Saccharomyces cerevisiae S288C: one gene and its partner. The protein of the gene in region 2 purifies or fractionates together with the protein of the main gene of each other region. This does not show direct contact. Each region holds a gene or a part of one and is shown on either strand. Other genes may lie near its edges.

Region 1 (16,637 bases), on a different chromosome or scaffold from region 2:
ATTCTTAGAGTTACCAATTGACATTAGAAAAGAAGTTTACTTCCATTTAGATGGTAATTTTTGCGGAGCACATCCCTACCCAATAGATATATTATACAAATCTAATGATGTGGAGCTTCCAGGAAAACCAAGTTATAAAAGGTCTAAGAGATCTAAGAAATTATTGAGATACATGTATCCTGTTTTTGCCACGTATTTGAACATTTTCGAATACTCTCCGCAACTCATTGAAAAATGGCTTGAGTATGCATTTTGGTTGCGCTATGATTGCCTGGTTTTGGACTGTTTCAAAGTAAACCATCTTTATGACGGAACGCTTATAGATGCATTAGAATGGACGTACCTTGATAATGAACTTCGACTGGCCTACTTCAATAAGGCCAGTATGTTAGAAGTTTGGTATACTTTTAAAGAGTACAAGAAGTGGGTGATAGACAGTGTTGCTTTTGACGAGCTTGACTTACTTAATGTAAGTAATATTCAATTCAACATTGATAATCTAACTCCACAACTAGTAGACAAATGCTTATCAATTTTAGAACAGAAAGATTTATTCGCAACAATCGGGGAGGTACAATTTGGACAAGATGAAGAAGTAGGAGAAGAGAAAGATGTTGATGTTAGTGGAGCTAATTCTGACGAAAACTCCTCACCTAGCTCCACAATTAAAAACAAGAAAAGGTCAGCATCCAAAAGATCACATTCAGATAATGGCAATGTGGGAGCAACGCACAACCAACTAACAAGTATTTCTGTTATAAGAACAATAAGAAGTATGGAATCCATGAAGAGCCTGCGGAAGATCACTGTGAGAGGAGAGAAATTATATGAGTTGCTAATAAATTTTCATGGGTTCAGAGACAATCCTGGTAAAACGATTAGTTACATAGTGAAACGTAGGATAAATGAAATACGCCTATCACGCATGAATCAAATTTCCAGAACCGGACTAGCTGACTTTACAAGATGGGACAACTTGCAAAAGCTTGTATTAAGTAGAGTAGCTTACATCGACCTGAATAGCATTGTCTTTCCCAAAAATTTTAAATCTCTGACAATGAAACGTGTAAGTAAAATCAAGTGGTGGAACATCGAGGAAAATATACTAAAGGAACTAAAAGTCGATAAGAGAACTTTTAAATCGTTGTACATAAAGGAAGATGATAGTAAATTCACAAAATTTTTTAATTTACGACACACAAGAATAAAAGAGCTTGACAAAAGTGAAATTAATCAAATAACATACCTTCGATGTCAAGCAATAGTTTGGCTATCTTTTCGGACTTTGAACCATATCAAGCTACAAAATGTATCTGAAGTTTTTAACAATATCATCGTACCTAGAGCATTGTTCGATAGTAAACGAGTAGAGATTTATCGATGTGAAAAAATCTCTCAGGTTTTGGTAATATAAAAATGTGGAAAACCGGCGGTATTTTAATTAGAAACAAACTGTCTGATAAACCAATCATGAAATCTTGTATCACTGTCAGCAAGCTCTGGATGAAAAGAAGTCACAAGGATATTATGATTTTGCGTTGCAGCTACAACCACATCCTTTCCATTCACTGGCAATTCATATAAACTTTTAACCGCGATAGGATCAAGAATTCTCTCGATCACGGGTGCGCGAATAAATGTAGCAGGAAAATTATCACAGCCAGGTATGAAATTGGAAAAATCACACTTTTGTGTAAAAGATTGAGCTTGTCTTCCAAATGCGTTTCTTCTCACGTCGACCTTCAACACACCTAAAGTCTTTACTAGGGCACTTTCGTTTTCTAATTGCGCGCTTAAAAAGATGAGACCAGCACAAGTACCCCAAACTACCTTTTCCGGATTATGAACAAATTCGTATAAACAAGGATATAAGCCTGTTCTTTGAGCGATGAGGGACATCGACGTAGATTCTCCTCCGGGAATAATTAAGGCGTCGCACTGGGCTAGATCCTCAGGAGTTTTTACAGTTTTGATTTCTATCTTTATTCCGTAGTCGTTTTCAGCCAAACACCTTTTTAAATGGTTGGTATGCTCCAAAAAGGCACCTTGCAACGCCAAAACCCCAATTACTTTCATCGACTTTCCGGACATTGTACTGTGGGTTTTGTGCATACTTTAAGATATGGTTTTTCTTTCTATTTAACGAAATGAAATAATAAGAAAAAAAAACCTGGTGGCATCAACGTGATTTTTGGAAGAAAGAATAAAACATTCAAAGAGTTCGTGACCAGTTATTGCTGATAAATGCCGTTTACTGACTCAGTTGGAATTTATGGCACTAGTTGGAATAGCTCATCATGACATAATGACTCAGCCGACAAGGGTAAGGGTTGAAAGCCGGGCTTTTTCACTACTTTTCAGGTAGCGCCGCCATTTCTTCATGACTCTGACACACTCTGCCGCACCGTTAGTTACGTCTGTAATTCTGGCTGCGAAGTACCATTTTCGATATAAATAGGAGGACGCTGAGAGCTATGGACGAAGTCTATGGTATTGTTGGAGAAACCTTTAGGAACGACTAGCAAATATACACAGTACTAATATTCAGTTAATTATCACGATGACTGGAGAAGACTTTAAGATCAAGAGTGGTCTCGCCCAAATGTTAAAAGGTGGCGTTATTATGGATGTTGTTACTCCAGAGCAGGCAAAAATAGCTGAAAAATCTGGTGCATGTGCGGTAATGGCATTAGAATCCATCCCAGCAGATATGCGTAAGTCAGGAAAGGTTTGCCGCATGTCAGATCCGAAGATGATTAAGGACATCATGAACTCCGTTTCCATTCCCGTCATGGCTAAGGTAAGGATTGGCCATTTTGTTGAAGCTCAAATTATTGAGGCATTGGAAGTTGACTATATTGACGAAAGTGAAGTCTTGACTCCTGCTGATTGGACTCACCACATTGAAAAGGACAAATTCAAAGTTCCATTTGTTTGTGGCGCTAAAGACTTAGGTGAAGCTTTGAGAAGAATTAATGAAGGCGCCGCTATGATTCGTACCAAGGGTGAAGCTGGAACGGGCGATGTCTCTGAAGCCGTCAAGCATATAAGGAGAATTACAGAGGAGATAAAGGCGTGCCAACAATTGAAGAGCGAAGATGACATTGCAAAAGTTGCTGAGGAAATGAGGGTACCAGTTTCTTTGCTGAAAGATGTTTTAGAAAAAGGTAAGTTGCCAGTAGTAAATTTTGCTGCAGGTGGTGTAGCAACGCCAGCCGATGCCGCATTGTTAATGCAGTTGGGTTGTGATGGTGTGTTTGTTGGCTCAGGAATTTTTAAATCATCTAATCCTGTAAGGTTGGCCACTGCAGTAGTAGAGGCTACCACTCACTTTGACAATCCCAGCAAATTGTTGGAAGTATCTAGTGACTTAGGAGAGTTAATGGGTGGTGTATCAATCGAATCTATTAGTCATGCTTCCAATGGAGTAAGACTTTCCGAAATTGGGTGGTGATTTCTTTGAACAGGTATTTTGAGCATTATAACACTTTTTCCCCCCTCAACTTTGTATTACTCGGTACACATTGTAAAATGATCTAATTATTAGATAAGCTTATGTATGCTGGATATTATTTACTAGAATACTTGATTGGGGTTCCCTTTTAGTTTGTTAGACAATCCCTCATACGAAAGATCTCCTAACTTTTCCAATTGATCATTTACATAGTTTTTATAAGAAAACTCGTCATTATTCAACAGTACCTCAGGGTCAAATATGATACCCTTTCCATGCAACCTCCATTTGTTAGTCCACTCGATAGCCGTTGATTTTTCATTTTGGCTTTTATTCACTTGAAGCCTTCTTAAAACATCATATATATCATTTGTGGGAGAATTGGTGCTTCCAGGGTAAAGCTCTGTTCTTCCATCGTTCAAATTTTGCAAGTTCATTAGGTATAAAAGGTAATCCGCTTGAAATATTGGATCTACAAGGTTATTTTTAACACTACCACACAACGCCAGTCCTAGCATTCTATTATGATCTGAAACGCGACCGGGAACACCGATTCCTGGAGTATCTATCAAGTATATTTCATTTCTTGATTCCGTATTCCGTGAAGTTACTCTAATAACCTCGCTTGTGGCTCTAGTAACACCAGCTTCTGCACCAGTTTTGGCTACTTTCTTAAATTTTCTTCCCATATTCACTTGATTGTGAAAAATTGTCCTCAAGCTATTTATTAAAGTAGATTTTCCAACATTTGGCATGCCAGTAATCAATGCTCGGTATCCCATAGGTAGATATCCGCCATTTGTTTCTAGTTCGTAATTTTGCCATTCTAGTATTTTTAGTAGATTCCTGACGTCAGTTTTGTTTCGGCAATCCAGTAAAATAAACTTTTCTCCCAGCTCTTCATGCCAATTCTTTAACTTTCCTATATATGGCTTATTGCCGGGCATAAGATCCTTTCTAGTGTATACCACTAATTTCATCACATCGTGTTCCTTTCTTGCTATTCGATCGAAAACCACATTCCTTGTAGATAACGGGGCACGTATATCACGTAGTTCTATTATCATATTCATTTGAGGAAGCAACTTTTCAAATGTTTTAAGAGCTTTGACTTGGTGTCCCTTGAAATCAGTGAGAGGCATACTGTACTTTGGAAATTCATATCTTGGTGTGAAGGATGAAACGTTGGAAATTATTTTCCTAGTTCCTCTCACATTTATGTGCATTTCTGTATTTGATTTGGCTTTTTTGCATTCAGGTCTGAGTAATGAGCATTATCATTCGTTCTTTCTTCTCCTAATAACTAAACCAAATTGTTTCGAAAAGACAAAAATTGTGTACTTTTGACATGATGGTCCGTGTTCTTTGATCTGCGGCAAAATGAACCTACCATGTGGCAGAATTAAATATTTGATTCAAATATAAATAAGGCGAACGACGAGAGATTAAGATATTATATACAGGTAATACTATTGATTGTTTGTTCCACGGACTAGGAATTCTTCCAATGTGGAATTCTCCATTCCAGCGGTTTTTAATAACGCTTTAATGGAGTTGCATAACTCCGGAGTTACGTTAACATTTAAACGTCTGATCCATAGCAAATGACCATTATTTACGATTTTCGATATAACGTGACTATCACCGCTTTGATTGATAACATTTATAAATTCATTCCAGGGCCTTTTGTCCTGACCTTCCCCTTCCGTTGGTGTGATAGCTTCCCAGACTTGAAGTAGCTTATTCCAGTCTTTGATTTTGGCCAAGTTTTGCAATATTGAGACAATCATGCCTGAAGTCAACTTATCTCCAAATGTTTGGAAAATGTGGTCTATTGTCTCGTAGAGTGATCTCAATTTTACCCGTTCATCCGCGACCATGGAATTTAAAAGAAGGGATATTACCACTTCATCGTAAACAACTGAGCCATCGTCCTCTGTTTGTAGACCTTTAAATAGGTTCAAAGCTCTGATAATCACCCTATTTTGCTTTACTAGGTTAAAGTATGAATGACTAGAATGCTGCGTTTTCAAAACCATTTCTAAAAGAGCGATTAGATCTTCCCTTATTAACTCTTGCCCCAACGATTTTTTTAAAAGTAGATAATCCTTGAGGAAAACACGATCTGAATAAAATTGTGGGTCTGCTTTGTTTAGAAGTATCGCATATTCTAGTCGTAGTGGCCAATATGCAGCCGATTGATTTATGGTTAAAAAAGTTGAATGTTCGTCAAATAAGGACTTCCATTGAACAACATCTACTTTCCTCTCTTGTCCTACCAAATCCTTTAAAGTATTTTTAACATGCTCCAAAGTACGTATATTGTGAGTTTCAGTACCACTACTACTCTGAATTATCTTATTGGCTCCTTTGAAGTCTTCCTTTTGTAGAAAGTATCTTAAATTACTTAGCCCGTTTGGGTTGATAGTTGAATACCTTCTCCTTTGCTGGGCCAGTCTTCTTAGGCCTAAAAGAATATTATTGTTGCTTGAAATTTCATTTACCCCTGAAATAGTAGGGACATTACCTGAATCTATATTTTGGAACTTAGATTTCTCATTTTCAGGTGCATACAGCTCTTCTAAATTCAATTCATTACGCCTTCTCTGTGTCAAAATATTTACAAAAATACCATCGACACGACAATCAATCATATACCAAGCCTCACTATTTAAGTCTTTTGCAGAGCATTCAGAGCTTCTACCTAATAGTTTACTAAGGTTGGATTTTCTTGCTAATCTTCTTTTTCTTCTACTTTCTTGTCGCTCATTAAAGTTTCCTTCAACGTATGCACTACTACAGAATTCGTGCTTCAAAAACTTGTTCAACTCTAAGAAACTTTTATGACAATGTTTGGTAGATCTTGCTGTACATATGACCATGAAGTCACCCAACTTATTAACGGCTGAAACAGAGTTTGGGCTTTTCTTCCGTAAATCGAAAACCAGGAAGTCATCCAGACCAAGTTTACCAGTTAGGAGGTCTGCTATTTTTCTTAATGAGTTTGGAGAGGTTTTAGGTATCTCCAATTCTTTGTTCATCGTGTGGTGGTTATTTTTCTTACCTTCCATTAGTTCCTTTTCATTGTCAACAATCCTGAGGTACCAAGGTGTTTCCAGAGGGGTAAAAGTAGACTTTTTGGATACACGACTTTGTTCATGACTGTCATTTTTGCCCTTTGTCGAGTAATAAACTGCTGTGATGTGACTATGAAGAAAATAAGGGCCCTTTTTGAATAATATGGTAAAAGGAATATTGGCCACGCCTATCCTCTTGCCATGGAAAGGTAGTAGACAGAATTTATTCATGTCAACAAACCTCAATTTTTGAATAAGCAGGCTATTACACTTAATCTTCACTTGGTGTCGATCTTTCTTAGTAGCTTAACTTGCTTTTTTTTTTTTTGGCTGAATGGTCCTCATTGTTTCTCTTTATCGGGATGAAAAGCATAATTATCAGAAGATTGCAAGTATATTAGAAGAGAGGTTAGAAAAAGATGTCAAGAAATACTAGTAAAAACAAATACCATTACTGTGTACTAGAGTACTATTTAAGAAAGACGGATTATTTCTAAAGTTACGATAGTTCGGATGATTGTGACCCCATTTCTAATAAAACCAATATTATCAGGTATATAGAAATGCTGCAGGATCTTTTCAAGCATATATGATACCACCAAAAAAGTGTAAAATCCCATATAATATAACGTTCTTCTATTTGTTTCGTACAGTTCGCTGATTGGTATTATTACATCAGGAATATTGTATGTTCGCTTCGTTAAAGTTTGATCGCTGTTTCCTATATGCGGCGTCTAATATATAGATGATGAGAATTTGACAAATAATGAGAATTGTTAGGATCCAATTATACTTAACAGCTATAATAATAGTACACAAAATATACTAAAAGTTCTCCTCGAGGATATAGGAACCCTCAAATGGAATCCATATTTCTACATAATAGTATTACGATTATTCTTCACTCTGTTTTACATGTTTCATTATCCTATTACATTATCAATCCTTGCATTTCAGCATCCTCTAACTTCGATGACAGCTTCTCATACCTTATGCCATCATCTAACACCGTATATCATAATATACTGGTAGTGTGACTACTAGTTGATAGACGATAGTTGATTTTTGATTTTTATTCCAACAGTCCTGATGATAAGTTACTGTCAAAGACATAATTATTATCAAAATATATGGTATTAGATGGACTGGTAAAAGTACAAAACTTCAGAAATTTGTCCGTGATAGTTTAATGGTCAGAATGGGCGCTTGTCGCGTGCCAGATCGGGGTTCAATTCCCCGTCGCGGAGATTTTTTTATCAGACCAGGTGGGTGTTGTTTGATCATCACAAAGTAGAATTCAGTGTCATTTTTAAAAACGTTACTTAATTTTACGATAATATGCTGCCAGAACAAGTTTAACAATACGCTTTTGGCAATTTGTTCTTGCTGCACTTGGAATTAAATAAGAGTCTTAGTAAACAGAATGTTGCTTTAGTTGTTCGTCAACAAAAACAAAGATAAAGGATGGAGGTAATCAAATAGCCCACATTAAGAAAAGTATACAACTGGGAATTTACTTTATAAAAATTACCGTTGCTACATTTTTTTATATTATTTATTGAATAGCTTGATATTTCAATTCTTCTTTGCAAAGTAATTGATAAGCATTCCATTTTTTACCAGGAGCCAAGGAAATAAAATCATGAACATGACCAGGTTCAATACATATCATTTGTTGGTAACCAGTTTTTGGTTCGAAATCGGCCATCCCTTGAGACTTCTCAATCCATGGATTCCAAACAACAGTGTCGGGCAAGTTGTATCTTTTTAGAGTGTGAATTTGAACGCCCTTGTCAACTATTTGAATGGCCCGTTCGGCGCTGACATTCTGATAAATTACATCGGTTTCTTGATTGAAGGTAACGACTGGGTGCTTGTCGACGTAGGATTCCTTCAACAGTTGGTCATAAAGTTTCATGCCAGCTAAATTAGAGACCATTGTTCCTTCAATATCTTCGATACGGAAGTATGTATGGAACAACCAGTTGAACTTTAATTCCTTGGAACTAGATGTGTTTTCTACTTCTATGGCAGTTTTCAAATAATCGGAGCCTAATTCAACAGTCAAAATCAAAAGATAATCCATTGGCCACAATTTGGTCAATTCTGGGTTAGCAATTTCTGGTTTCAAGCCAAATTGTACGGTCGGTGGGTTTTCCTTAGTTTGACCCAAAAACTCCCAAGTAGAATTTCTTGCAAGACCATGTTGAGGTAATTTACTCAAATGTTCATCGGTGCTATTTTTCCCGAATACAGGAAAGACCAAAGGTATACCACCTCTCACAGGTTTGCTACCATCCAATTTAGCAGCAGTAGACAACCACAACTGTTCTTCAGATTTCAATTTCCAAGAATAAACTGTAGCACCGTACTTTAGAATATGAACGCTGGTGGTCTCATCAGCTGGATGAGTCAAAACAACTTCTTTATCAGTTTCTTTGATAGGCATGGCTTTGTGTTTTAATCTTTCTTGGTTCAAGTTTTACCAAAGGCTTATAATGAACCTCAGAATCACCTCTTTATTCATTTCTAGGGACCTACTAAGTTTTCTTTCGGCGTGAAAAATAAAAGGCGCATTGGTGACCCCATTTGCGATACCTTTTTATGGAAAGACAGCTTGAAGAAAGACCTTGTTATCATTGACTGCGTCTAGCGAACGAGGACATCTACACACTATTTCTTCTGCTGCAATGATTGATGCCGTTTAGATGAATGGTCGGGACGTAACTTATGTTTTAAGAAGAAGGCACTTTTCCTGGTGCAATAGATGAATCTCGGTTTCAAGTTAACTATATAAATATGGGGTTGGCATTATATGTCATGCTTTATTATAATTAGGCATATAAAACTACATGGTTATGAAAGGCGCTGGCAGTAAAAGGGTTGTTTGTCAATGGCAAGAATTAATCATTCTCGCATTGAAATATATGTAGATCGAGGTGAACTGTTAGATGGTCCATCAGACATTTATTATTTTGACTTATGTATTTCCCTCTCAATTTTGTTATCAGTAATCGAGTCATGTGTACTTTAAAGTTCATATTCTCACGTTTTTCGCAAGATATTAGCCGCCAATAGCAACTCCGAATAATAAGAGCTATATAAAGGCCGTTGAAGCCCACGGAAAGAGAAAGAAAACTAATAGTTATTACAATATAGACCGTTGGTTTTTTCTTTCCCTCCTGGAGCAGCTGCGTATAGTTACTACCTAAGAAGTGGGCTAGAAGTTGGCTAGAAGTGGGCTACTTAATATATATCTTTGGATACATAGAAAGGAACCAGGAAAAAGGAAAATTATTTAGATGGCTTCCATAAGTTTATGATGGTTCAAACGGCAAAAAGCCTTTTGACTATTTTTCTTGGTTGAACTATCTTCTTATTAGGCCTACTACAACAATGCATCGAGCTAGGATAACAACTAGAATACTTTGGTTATGTATTGTATGGGTGTTCAGTGGCAAAATTTGAGAGTTGGGTTATTGATGGTCGGCCTATACAAACGAAAGACCTAGAGCAGCTCACAAGGAAGAAAGTGCTGGACAAACTTCCCTACCTGAAGAGAAAAATATCCGTTTTTTATATAGTTTCTGTAAGTGTGCACAGTGACTTCCTCATTAGAGCGATATAGATAATTTGAGACTTTATTTATTTTTTATTTTTGTTGGTTCTCATATTCAACCTTCCATTTATCTAAGTTGAACCATTAAACATTCCCTTTTTTACTTTGCTAATTTCATCATACCCATTGATCAACTATAAGTGAAACTTGGGAATCTTCCATTATACAAAGGTGAGGTCCCTATTTGTTGCATTTTTCAATTCATTTCCCTGGGAGTTTTTGTTTGTTTTTGCTATATTAACATATCATAACAGCGTATAGAACGTAATTTGAAATATTCAAAACAAAGAAAAGGTAAAGAAATGAGAGACTCTAATCATCGATCATTAACGTCGAACAAGCCTATAGTAACAATAACATCTACTGTCTATGACCGAAGGGCATTGGATATCAACTCTAGTATTCCGTTAATAAACTCCCTAAACTACTTAACATATCTAACCTCTAATTCATCAAAAGTTAGGGAAACGGTAGCTAACGACGGTGCTCTCGAAAGATTAGTCTCAATATTGAGGAGTTGTCATTTAAGTTTGTTTGAGTTGCTGGATTTGGATTTAGAAAATTTTAATGAGCACGAAAACATAAAGGATCTATGGAAGGAGAAAAGACTAGCACTATGCGCTTGGAAATGGACTTTAACATTTCAGTGCTTAGTATTGACAGGTACTAGAGGGACAGAACAAATTCGTAAAAAAGTGGTAATGTCTGGGGTCTTATCTGTGCTGGTCACAGTATTGGATAACTATTTACTATATCATAAAAATTACGACTTCATCAAAGATCAAACAATGACCTTTGACTTCAAAGGGATAACCACGGAGACAATGTATAAATTCATGAGAAAAGATGAGAATGAAACATATCAGCAGTATATAGAGTTCATTACAGGTCAGGATAAATTGAAGTTGTCAACTGACAAAAATTTTCTAAACGAACGATTAGTGGCACCGTCTATGACAATTCCAACTGATTTTAGTGATATATGGGGCCGGTTTGCAGACCTAGCTAGCAATTTTGAACCTGACCAGGAAAGACACGACGACGACATTGATATTGATAGTGAAGTAGAAAGTGAAAATTTTGATGCACATAAGAATTTCTTTTCGCAACCAGACATTAATAGACCTACAATTTCCACTCCACGTGAATTTTTTCTCGGAAGAATTGTCCCCAAACAAGACGACGTTATATGGTCGCTTCAGTTATTAGCTTTTGTTTCGAAGTATACATATATGAAATCAACCCTTCAAAATGTTGAGCTGGTTGAATCCCTATCGTTCAGAAGTATGGCTTACAAAATTAAACAGAGAATCTCAGAAGAGAATGACTTAGAAGAACAAGAAAGAGACGTAACTGTAAAATTGTCTTCATTATATCCTTATTTATCGAAAAATCCTGAAAACAATTCCAAAGTTAAGGCACTAGATACTAGCAAAATGGATCCATTTTTCAAAGAATTAGAAGAACTCTCAAACAGATGTCAACAAGAAGAACAAAATGAAATATGTAATAACCACTGTCCCGTTCTTAATTTGTTTGAGCGCTACCGTGTACCGAAACCTAGCGACGACAATGCCTATGGCAAAGACAAGGAAAGAATTAATTTAAGGAAGAAAATATCTGATAACTTTGAAAGGCGCTGGAGCTACGATAAAATGAAAAAGGAATTAACAAATATTGTTTACAAAAACAAGGTACTAACAAATGTTGTAAACATCTTCCCCTTAGTCGAAAAATATACAGTGAGCGCAGAAAATACACATGATGTTATATATTGGAGTTCTGTCATCATGAGAAATTCATGTCGAAAAAATGAGATCTTAGGTGTGCGTCAGTGTGCCAATTTTTCGTGCGGAAAATGGGAAGATTTTCCAAGACAATTTGCAAAATGTCGTCGATGCAAAAGAACGAAATATTGCTCACGAAAGTGTCAATTAAAAGCATGGGGATATCATAGGTATTGGTGTCACGAAGTTGGATCAAGTCATATGAGATCCACGAATACTACCACAGGTGTCAATACCCCAAATGAGCCTAGTTCTTTAAATGCCACCGCTACTACAGCAGCTGATGTTTCGAATTCTACCAGTACGTTCACTCCTAATATATCCACCACCGTACCTGATGAAATAAGCAATAGGGATGAAAATAGCATACCTGAGTAAAGTACAAGGGGATTTCGATGACCTAGGTTTAACAAGATCATGAAATATTCATTAACGGAGTTTTTTGTTTTCGCTTTTTTTATTTTTTGTTCCTAATTTTTTTTTTTTTTACATTTTATTAGCTATACACTTGGCGCAAGGATATTTTATATACCGGATATAATAGATAATTAAAAGACTACTAATTAAAAATGATGTAATATGGTAATAGGTATGGAAGAATCAGGGAGTTTTCAGAATGTTCTTTGCCCTCTCTTGGGCTTTCTAGTTTTGCACTTTTACTTATTCATCTCCTGTAACCGAAACTGAAATGGGGGGGTTTGGAAAGTTGTACAAAGACATAGCTGTTTTCTTTTTTTTAAATATTGAAGGAACGCTTTCATGTATTTTTTCAAACAATGAGTGATTCTTCTCATTATATTTTTGAATGGTGGAAAAGAAGGACCATTTGAGAATCATCAGGTACATAGCAAAGAAGCTAAAATTTGGCCACAACGTATCACTAAATTCAATGGTGGCATTTTCATGTACTTGCCATAGCATATAGTCTGAGAGCCTCCTATGCCCACTTGTTCTGATTAATAATTCACATTTATTGGAATGGAAACCCATGTACATTTTATTAGTAAATTTTCTTATATTAATCCTTGGTGATTTATTTTCCAAATGGTCTTCAACTGAATCACGAATAGTATGTAACATATCATTTCTTGAAGTGTAAGGAAAACATATAAATAAAGTGAAATCGTCTCCATCCTGTGTGATTTCTTCCACTTTTTTAATTTTTTTTCTCATTTCTGGAGATAGTAAAGATTGATCACCTACTATTCTTATTTTAGATCCGTATAAGGGATCCTTATAGTCCTTGGCTCTTTTTGCGAATTCATCAAGCTTTACCGTAAACAAATTCATTAGCGTATCTACTTCTTCTTTTGGTCTATTAAAATTTTCAATAGAAAATGCATAGGCGGAAACACATTTTACACCCAATCTTTTGCAGATATACAGTAGTGTTAGTAACGTTAACCCACCAGCTTCATGGCCTTTTTTTACTGGTAGCCTTCTTGACTTGGCATATCTCCGGTTACCATCCATGATAAAGGAGACATGTTCAGGCACTGGCCCTACCCTTAATGCTTTTATCAAAATATTCTGAAGATTTACATAAAACCATGAAAACAAGCTTAATGACATAACCCACGCAAATACTCTCTGAAATATACTTTTCACTGCGAAGCACATCTGTTCTTTGGTTTCTACCAAAAGCCTTTTTAGGGCTACAAACTGAATCTGAATAATACTGGGCATTTTCATTATGGTCAACAGAAACGTCCTATGTTTGAAAGGCAGCCTGTTCTTTATAAGTTGATAAATTGAGAAAAGTGCACCAAATCTTAATCTACTCTGTGTGTATTTTTAGGTCCCTTAAATAACAGAAAAAGTATAGCTTTAGCCGCCGAGGTCCACTCAGTTTGGAGTAGTTACCCTTAACAGGCACTCACTCCGTTTTGTTCTTTCGAAGAGATACGTTATAGTATATCGGCAACAAATGATAGGCTCATTGTTAGCGTTCATTAATTATTAGATTAAAATTTATTTAAGTGTATCGTGTTTCTTTACTTTATGTACGAAGATTAATATGCATTTAAAGGTATCATCCACGGAAAAAAAATACTCCATCAGCGTTAGCGGAAGTTATTAACTACTGTACCGCAGTCTACGCAATAATAGTTTCTATCTTGTTGGTCATTAGCACCAGAAAAAGCCTCAAACCTTGAACCGTTACAAACATTGCAACGGATAGGTAAATTCATTGCGCTCGTTGGAGTGGTAGGCCCATGTGCATTGGAGAAAATAGATGACATGCTTTCCCTTGGTGTTCTTGGCTGTGCATTACTGCCGAGTGTTTTTAGTGATGTACTGCTTTTGGGACATATATTAGAGTATCCACGTCCCGTTGCATAGCCTTTTCCAGTATTAGTATACGCCGCTGCCGGTTGGCCAGCCAAGTTTGATTTCGCTCTCGAGTTGAAGCTTCGACTCAAAGAATGCAAAGAATCAGAACTGTTAAACCTTCTCCGAACCTCTCTATTGTATTCTTCTAGTTTGAGTAACACGCGCTTTCTTATAACAGAGGGCATATCTGCTCTAAACACACGAATAGTCCCTACGTTATCAGTACTGATCAATATCGTTCCAATTGCGTCAACGACATCTGGGATAGCACTGGTGGCGGAAGCATTAGAAATTGAGCCTGGTTTAGAATTGTAGCCCAAAGACGACTCTACATCTGACATTATGCCATCGTCGTTACTCCGACTCAAAACATCGAAACTATCGGATGTCTGAAAAAACTCTAGAGATAGCTCGCAGATAACATCGTTAGACAAAGATAATGTTTTCGAAGTTTCTGGCGGTGCAATGCTAACACAAGTAACAGGGGCATTGTGTGCATGAAAAGAAATGTAATCCGTATTTTTGATATAATGATCGTTGCTATGATGAGGCAAGGGAAGTAAGTTAGTAAGTTTTAAATGATGATGTGGTTTTTCTTCGTTATTCTGGCTGGAAGACCTACTCATTGATTTACTAAATATGCTTCTCAAACTTCCGGACCGAGCCAATCCCTTTGGTTTCCTTTTAGGTTCGTCTTGATCATTCTCTCTATCCGAAGACTTTAACCTCCAGCCGTAAACCCAATGGTCATCACTACTATTTACAACGATTGGCTGACCATGCCAGATGGACAATTGTGCCTTGTGTTGGGAAGATCCGCTATGGAAGCCTTTCAATACCTCTAGAAGCTTCCTCTGTTCTAAGTCAAAAATTCTTATCCTCGAATCATTCGATGTAACTACTAAGCGGAAAGAATTGTCCAGTTGAGATCTAAAAGCTTGCAAACCCGTCACACGTGGACCATGACGAATTTTTGAGTCAGTTTCCGTGACCATGACGTGAGCGTTTTGTTCTTGTGTTTGTCTATCAGCTACGTGAAATGAAGAAACTGGAGTGAGACCTCTGGTCATCAGAATATGAACGTATCCATTAAATGTTCCTATTATAGTGTATTTTCCCTCCTCAGGGGATAATGTAACAGATGTTATTAAGTCTTGACAATCGTACTCAAAGCTAACTTCATCATCCAGTATAGACCATAACCTGCATTTGTGATCCAGACAGCCGCTAATGAAAAATCTATCGTCGGTGGGGTGAAATTCCACACAAGTGACAAAATCAGGATGTATGAATGTCTTAAGTGAATTTTTCCTATCGGGATGCCATAGTTTTACTGTCTTATCCATCGATGCTGACAAAATAAAATTATTTTTAGACCAATTTATATCCAGAACATCTTGCACGTGTTCTTTATACAGTCGCAAAGGCGTTGGGTGAAAGACAGGCGCATACAAATTCAATAATTTTTCCTTCTCTTCGTATTTCTCTGTAGCAGAATCCAAAAATTGTTTTTCTTTTGGATTGTTCAATGAACTGACCTGCTGTTTGATCCGCATCGACTTGGCTCGTGCCTCTTTATTTGATTCCGCACTCGAGTCCAATTCGGCTCTTTCAACTGGAGAGCCAATAACTTTCCATATTCTTATTTTACCATCTTTGCTACCAGTGGCCATAAATTTTCCATCGCGGCTAAACTTTGTACTCCATATAGCTTTAGAGGTTGGTTCAGATGATTTGGAAGTGGAGGTAACCGTTTCACCTTCGTAGGCCATTAGTTCTTGCGCGAGAAACAATCTTCTAAATTGTTTCAGGTTTTTCCGACGTTTCAACATTTTAATGTATTTTGGCTCTCTCAAATAGTTTTCAAATTGCTCTGTATCAATGGAATTGAAAGGGTAAAACTCATTGACCCTAAGATTCGAATTTAAAGTATTGCCTCTCTGTAAATGTTCCTTTAGTCTCATAAATGAATCAGTGGCGTTGCCGTTGTTACTATATTTTAATTTGTCATTTGTATTATTAGTTTTTGTCATTCTGAACTTCAATGGCTCGATATCTGCAGAATATTCAAGATTTAGTTTGCTTTTACTTTTACTTTCACCGGAACTGGACTCGCCGTCGAAGCTCTCTTGATGCGACCGACTCTCCTCTTCAGATCCAGTGGTATTCGAGGAATTGCTGAATTCAGAATGTACCTTGCTTATACTTGTTTTATCCTCCGCCATATTCGTCATATTTCTAATTCTCGTACTATATTATACGCCACTACCGTATACAATATGCCAAGAGCTCAGCAACTGCTTTCTATTCTTTTTCTTTGATTGTCTTTGTTCCTCTTTTCCCTCTTTCTTTTCCTCCTCTGTTTA
Region 2 (4,920 bases):
TGCAGACGGCACCTTCTTTGATGTATTCGGTGGGGAATTTGTAATTTTCACTAGGGACACCAGTGATGACCACATCTGAATCAAGAGAACACTTTTTCAACAGATCTTCAGAGTACTCCCCAAGGTCTTCCACATGATGCTTGTTTAATTTCAAACTTTCACCACGGGTGAATTTTTGAATGTTGTTAACGTCCACAGAGTATACTGTGGCACCGTCATTGGCTAATAGCGCCGCCAGTGGTCTACCGACGATTTCTGACCTGTTAATTACTATGCATTTCTTCCCATACAGTCTGTTTCCTTCTGGTAACAAATTGTTGTAAATTTTCAAGAATTCCAATATCTTAACGATAGCTAGTGGTGTGCAAGGTAGAATGGATTTCAAACGGTTTTCTTTGTCCAGGTATCTGACATTATGGTACAGGTTTTGGTAGTAAACATGATTTAACCCTTCTACATCTTTTTCCTTGCACACAACCTGTTGCAAATACTGATCTTGAGCATTACCGAAAACAGGAAAGTATACCATGATACCGTTCACAGAGTCATCGCCGTTAGCTTGTATTATCGCTTCTTCCAAAAAATCCTTATCTTCAATGACCCTTAAGTCATAGCGGAACCCCATTGACTCGCTAGTCTTTTGAGTCCATGTAGCATACATCTTTGCAGCAGGATCATTATTAGCTAGGAATCCCACAAGAAGGGGACCTTGACCATTATGTGTCTTCTTGTATTCCTCTACGTTGTTAATTATTTCGGTATTGAAAGTTTCGGCGACCTTGCTTGCTAAAATAGTACGACCAGGCTTCGACATTTCTCTATAGATTTATATTGATGGGTTGTGTTGATAGGAATTAATTTTACTGTGCTTTGCGATACTGTACACTTGAATAGACAAGGAGGTATTGTATCTCAGCCCAAGAAGAAGCTGGTTGCAAGGCACTTAAATACTTTGCGTAGTTGCTTTTTTTCCTTTTCTACTGAGTCAATATATCATAATAGTAAAGACAGTAATATTAGTCTTTACAACGTTGTAGAAATCTATTTACCAGTTCATTGGGAATATTAGGGCTTGTGTTGATTCGGGCTGACTCCGCCAAAAAGAGTCGCAGGGCTTTCATTTTTTGTCAGGACTTGGACTAGGAAAAGAATAAATTGTCTTGGGGTTTTTCGCAAAAAAGTAGGGCCTCTTAGGGTACCTTGGAGTAGCGAATAATGCCATAAAATATCAATTTATGGAGGTGACAGCCTGCATAAACAATATACTACAGCCTCAGTTGGGTTATTTTTTTTCGAATGCATATTTGAAATACGATGTCACTGTTCCTACGGATATCATTGTCATGCTATAAAAAAAAGAGCAACCCACTCAACAAATCAAAATTGCTGTTACAGAATGTTTGCTAGGCCATTGTAATGGGGTTGCGGTATTCCTGGTTGCATTAATATCGCCCACTGATATCTCAAACGAGGACGTAGCGTTTCTACATAGTAACTGCTCGGTATTTCAGAACACTTACCCGCAGTGAAAAAAATTTTTGGGCATCGCATAATCTATAACTGACGTAAAGGGAAGACATAATTAGCATCCTAAACCTTGTCTTGGGCCCTTTTTCGGCAGTTCATACCACCTTTTAATGATTCTGTCTAGGTGGTTGTTTTTTGCCTCCTTTTCTCTCTCTAAAATACCCGAAAGGATATAGAGCGGCAGTGAAATAATCTTCCTCAAGCATAATTCAAACTGTCGAATATACTACTAAATAGTCATTCACACTTGAAATCCTTCTCATCTGCATTTTCCCATTTGGTCAGGAGGTATAAATCATACAGAAAGGGACCTAAAAAGCAACAGACTAATAGAACGACCACCCGCAAAGAAAAGAGTCCTGGAAGGTTTTCAACGATGTTCACATTTATACCCATCACCCATCCTACATCGGATACAAAGCACCCATTGCTGCTAGTCCAGTCTGCACATGGGGAAAAGTATTTCTTCGGTAAAATTGGTGAAGGATCCCAAAGGAGTCTGACTGAAAATAAGATCAGGATATCCAAATTGAAGGATATTTTCCTTACTGGTGAATTAAACTGGTCAGATATAGGTGGATTACCTGGAATGATTTTGACTATTGCTGATCAAGGGAAAAGTAATCTTGTTTTGCATTACGGCAATGACATTTTGAATTACATAGTTTCCACTTGGAGATACTTCGTCTTTAGATTCGGAATAGACTTGAACGATCACATTATGAAAGACAAGGAAGTATATAAAGATAAGATAATAGCTGTTAAATCCTTTAATGTTCTGAAAAATGGGGGGGAAGACAGGTTAGGCGTCTTCGATAGTTTTCAAAAAGGTGTATTACGTTCCATAGTAGCAAAAATGTTCCCCAAACATGCACCCACCGATAGGTACGATCCTTCTAGTGATCCGCACTTGAATGTAGAGTTGCCTGACTTAGACGCCAAAGTGGAAGTTTCTACGAATTACGAGATTTCATTCAGTCCAGTGAGGGGTAAATTTAAAGTGGAGGAAGCTATTAAACTAGGTGTTCCGAAGGGTCCCTTATTTGCAAAGTTAACCAAGGGCCAAACAATTACTTTGGATAACGGTATTGTTGTAACTCCGGAACAGGTATTGGAGAATGAACGTCATTTTGCCAAAGTATTGATCCTGGATATCCCAGATGACCTATATTTGAACGCTTTCGTAGAAAAATTCAAGGATTATGATTGTGCTGAGCTTGGCATGGTGTATTATTTTCTTGGTGATGAGGTTACCATTAATGATAATCTATTCGCGTTCATTGACATATTTGAGAAAAACAATTATGGTAAAGTAAATCATATGATATCCCACAATAAAATTTCTCCAAACACGATATCATTTTTCGGTTCTGCATTGACCACATTGAAATTAAAGGCACTACAAGTAAATAATTACAATTTACCAAAAACAGATCGTGTGTTTTCCAAGGACTTCTACGACAGATTCGATACACCACTCAGCAGAGGTACATCTATGTGTAAATCCCAGGAAGAGCCTTTGAATACAATAATAGAGAAGGATAACATTCATATTTTTTCACAAAACAAGACAGTAACTTTCGAACCATTTCGGATGAACGAAGAACCGATGAAATGCAACATCAACGGTGAAGTGGCGGATTTCTCGTGGCAAGAAATTTTCGAAGAACATGTAAAACCATTAGAATTTCCCTTAGCTGATGTCGATACAGTTATCAATAATCAACTACACGTGGATAACTTTAACAATTCAGCAGAAAAGAAGAAACACGTTGAAATTATCACCTTAGGAACCGGTAGTGCATTGCCTTCTAAATATAGAAACGTTGTCTCCACACTTGTTAAAGTTCCTTTTACTGACGCCGATGGAAATACCATAAATAGAAACATTATGCTAGATGCTGGTGAAAATACTTTAGGTACCATACACAGGATGTTTTCTCAGCTAGCAGTCAAGTCAATATTTCAGGATTTGAAAATGATATATCTGAGTCACTTGCATGCAGACCACCATTTGGGAATAATCAGCGTGCTAAATGAATGGTACAAATATAACAAGGATGATGAAACGAGTTATATATATGTGGTTACTCCATGGCAATATCACAAATTTGTTAATGAATGGTTAGTTCTAGAAAATAAAGAGATTTTAAAGAGAATCAAATACATAAGTTGTGAGCATTTCATCAATGATTCGTTTGTAAGAATGCAGACACAATCTGTTCCTTTGGCAGAGTTCAATGAAATATTGAAAGAAAATAGCAATCAAGAATCAAACAGAAAACTGGAACTGGATAGAGATTCTTCATATAGGGATGTTGACTTGATCAGACAAATGTATGAGGATTTATCGATAGAATATTTTCAAACTTGCAGAGCTATACATTGTGACTGGGCATATTCGAACTCAATTACCTTCCGAATGGACGAAAACAATGAGCATAATACATTCAAGGTTTCATATTCAGGCGATACAAGACCTAACATCGAGAAATTTTCCCTCGAAATAGGCTATAATTCAGATCTATTAATTCACGAAGCTACACTAGAAAATCAGCTACTGGAGGATGCCGTGAAGAAAAAACACTGCACTATTAATGAAGCAATCGGTGTTTCGAACAAAATGAATGCTAGGAAGTTGATCTTAACACACTTTTCCCAGAGATATCCCAAATTGCCCCAATTAGACAATAATATTGATGTGATGGCGAGAGAATTTTGTTTTGCTTTCGACAGTATGATCGTTGATTATGAGAAAATTGGTGAACAGCAGCGTATTTTTCCACTGCTGAATAAGGCATTTGTTGAAGAAAAGGAAGAAGAAGAAGATGTTGATGACGTTGAAAGCGTACAAGATTTGGAAGTCAAACTTAAGAAACACAAGAAAAATTAGTATAATTCATCTTAACTTCTTATATTGTTGCTTTTTCAGTAGTAAATTATCTTCTTTAATTACGTTATTATGTACATATTCATTGGCTTATGTGCTCATCTGGTACAAAGTCTTGCCATAATTGTAAATAGTGTTTCTTTTCATCCATGTTCAAATCTCTTATTGATTTTAAACAACTATTAACCTCGGCGGCTTCTCTCTTCTCAAATTCTTTCCGTTCATTTAAGATATCTTCCATAATTTTCTCCCAGCTCTGCTTAACACGGTTATATCTTTTTAATACAATGCGGTATTCATCCTCTGCCGTGCGTATCTTAAGGTCTTCATTGTTACTGTTGTTGTTTCCCGGAGATAGTTTGTCAAGAAAGTTTTTCTTCTTGTCTAGATCCACTTCTATGATGCTTAGAATTTTACCAAGCTTCAATCTTTGATTTAAGATGGATTCAAATGATTCGCAAAATCTTACATTTTCATCAAATAATATGATTAGCTTCAGAATG

Evidence for each region.
Region 1: the proteins of TRZ1 (region 2) and YMR099C purify together in Saccharomyces cerevisiae (affinity purification with mass spectrometry; 3 studies listed by BioGRID, with this or other methods). This does not show direct contact.

Annotation. Positions count from the first base shown.
Region 1 is NC_001145.3:455,848-472,484, forward strand, and holds YMR099C (glucose-6-phosphate 1-epimerase), read right to left. Parts: upstream 8,981-16,637; coding exon 8,087-8,980; downstream 1-8,086. Other genes in the region: CTF13 (Ctf13p), read left to right, coding at 1-1,414; SNO1 (putative pyridoxal 5'-phosphate synthase), read right to left, coding at 1,438-2,112; pyridoxine biosynthesis protein SNZ1, read left to right, coding at 2,561-3,454; putative GTPase MTG1, read right to left, coding at 3,577-4,680; ATP25 (Atp25p), read right to left, coding at 4,924-6,762; MYND-type zinc finger protein MUB1, read left to right, coding at 10,453-12,315; SRT1 (ditrans,polycis-polyprenyl diphosphate synthase), read right to left, coding at 12,598-13,629; LAF1 (Laf1p), read right to left, coding at 14,001-16,505. UniProt on the Saccharomyces cerevisiae protein: Catalyzes the interconversion between the alpha and beta anomers from at least three hexose 6-phosphate sugars (Glc6P, Gal6P, and Man6P).
Region 2 is NC_001143.9:586,289-591,208, reverse strand, and holds TRZ1 (tRNase Z), read left to right. Parts: upstream 1-1,903; coding exon 1,904-4,420; downstream 4,421-4,920. Other genes in the region: MTD1 (methylenetetrahydrofolate dehydrogenase (NAD(+))), read right to left, coding at 1-814; VPS501 (sorting nexin family protein), read right to left, coding at 4,500-4,920. UniProt on the Saccharomyces cerevisiae protein: Zinc phosphodiesterase, which displays some tRNA 3'-processing endonuclease activity. Probably involved in tRNA maturation, by removing a 3'-trailer from precursor tRNA.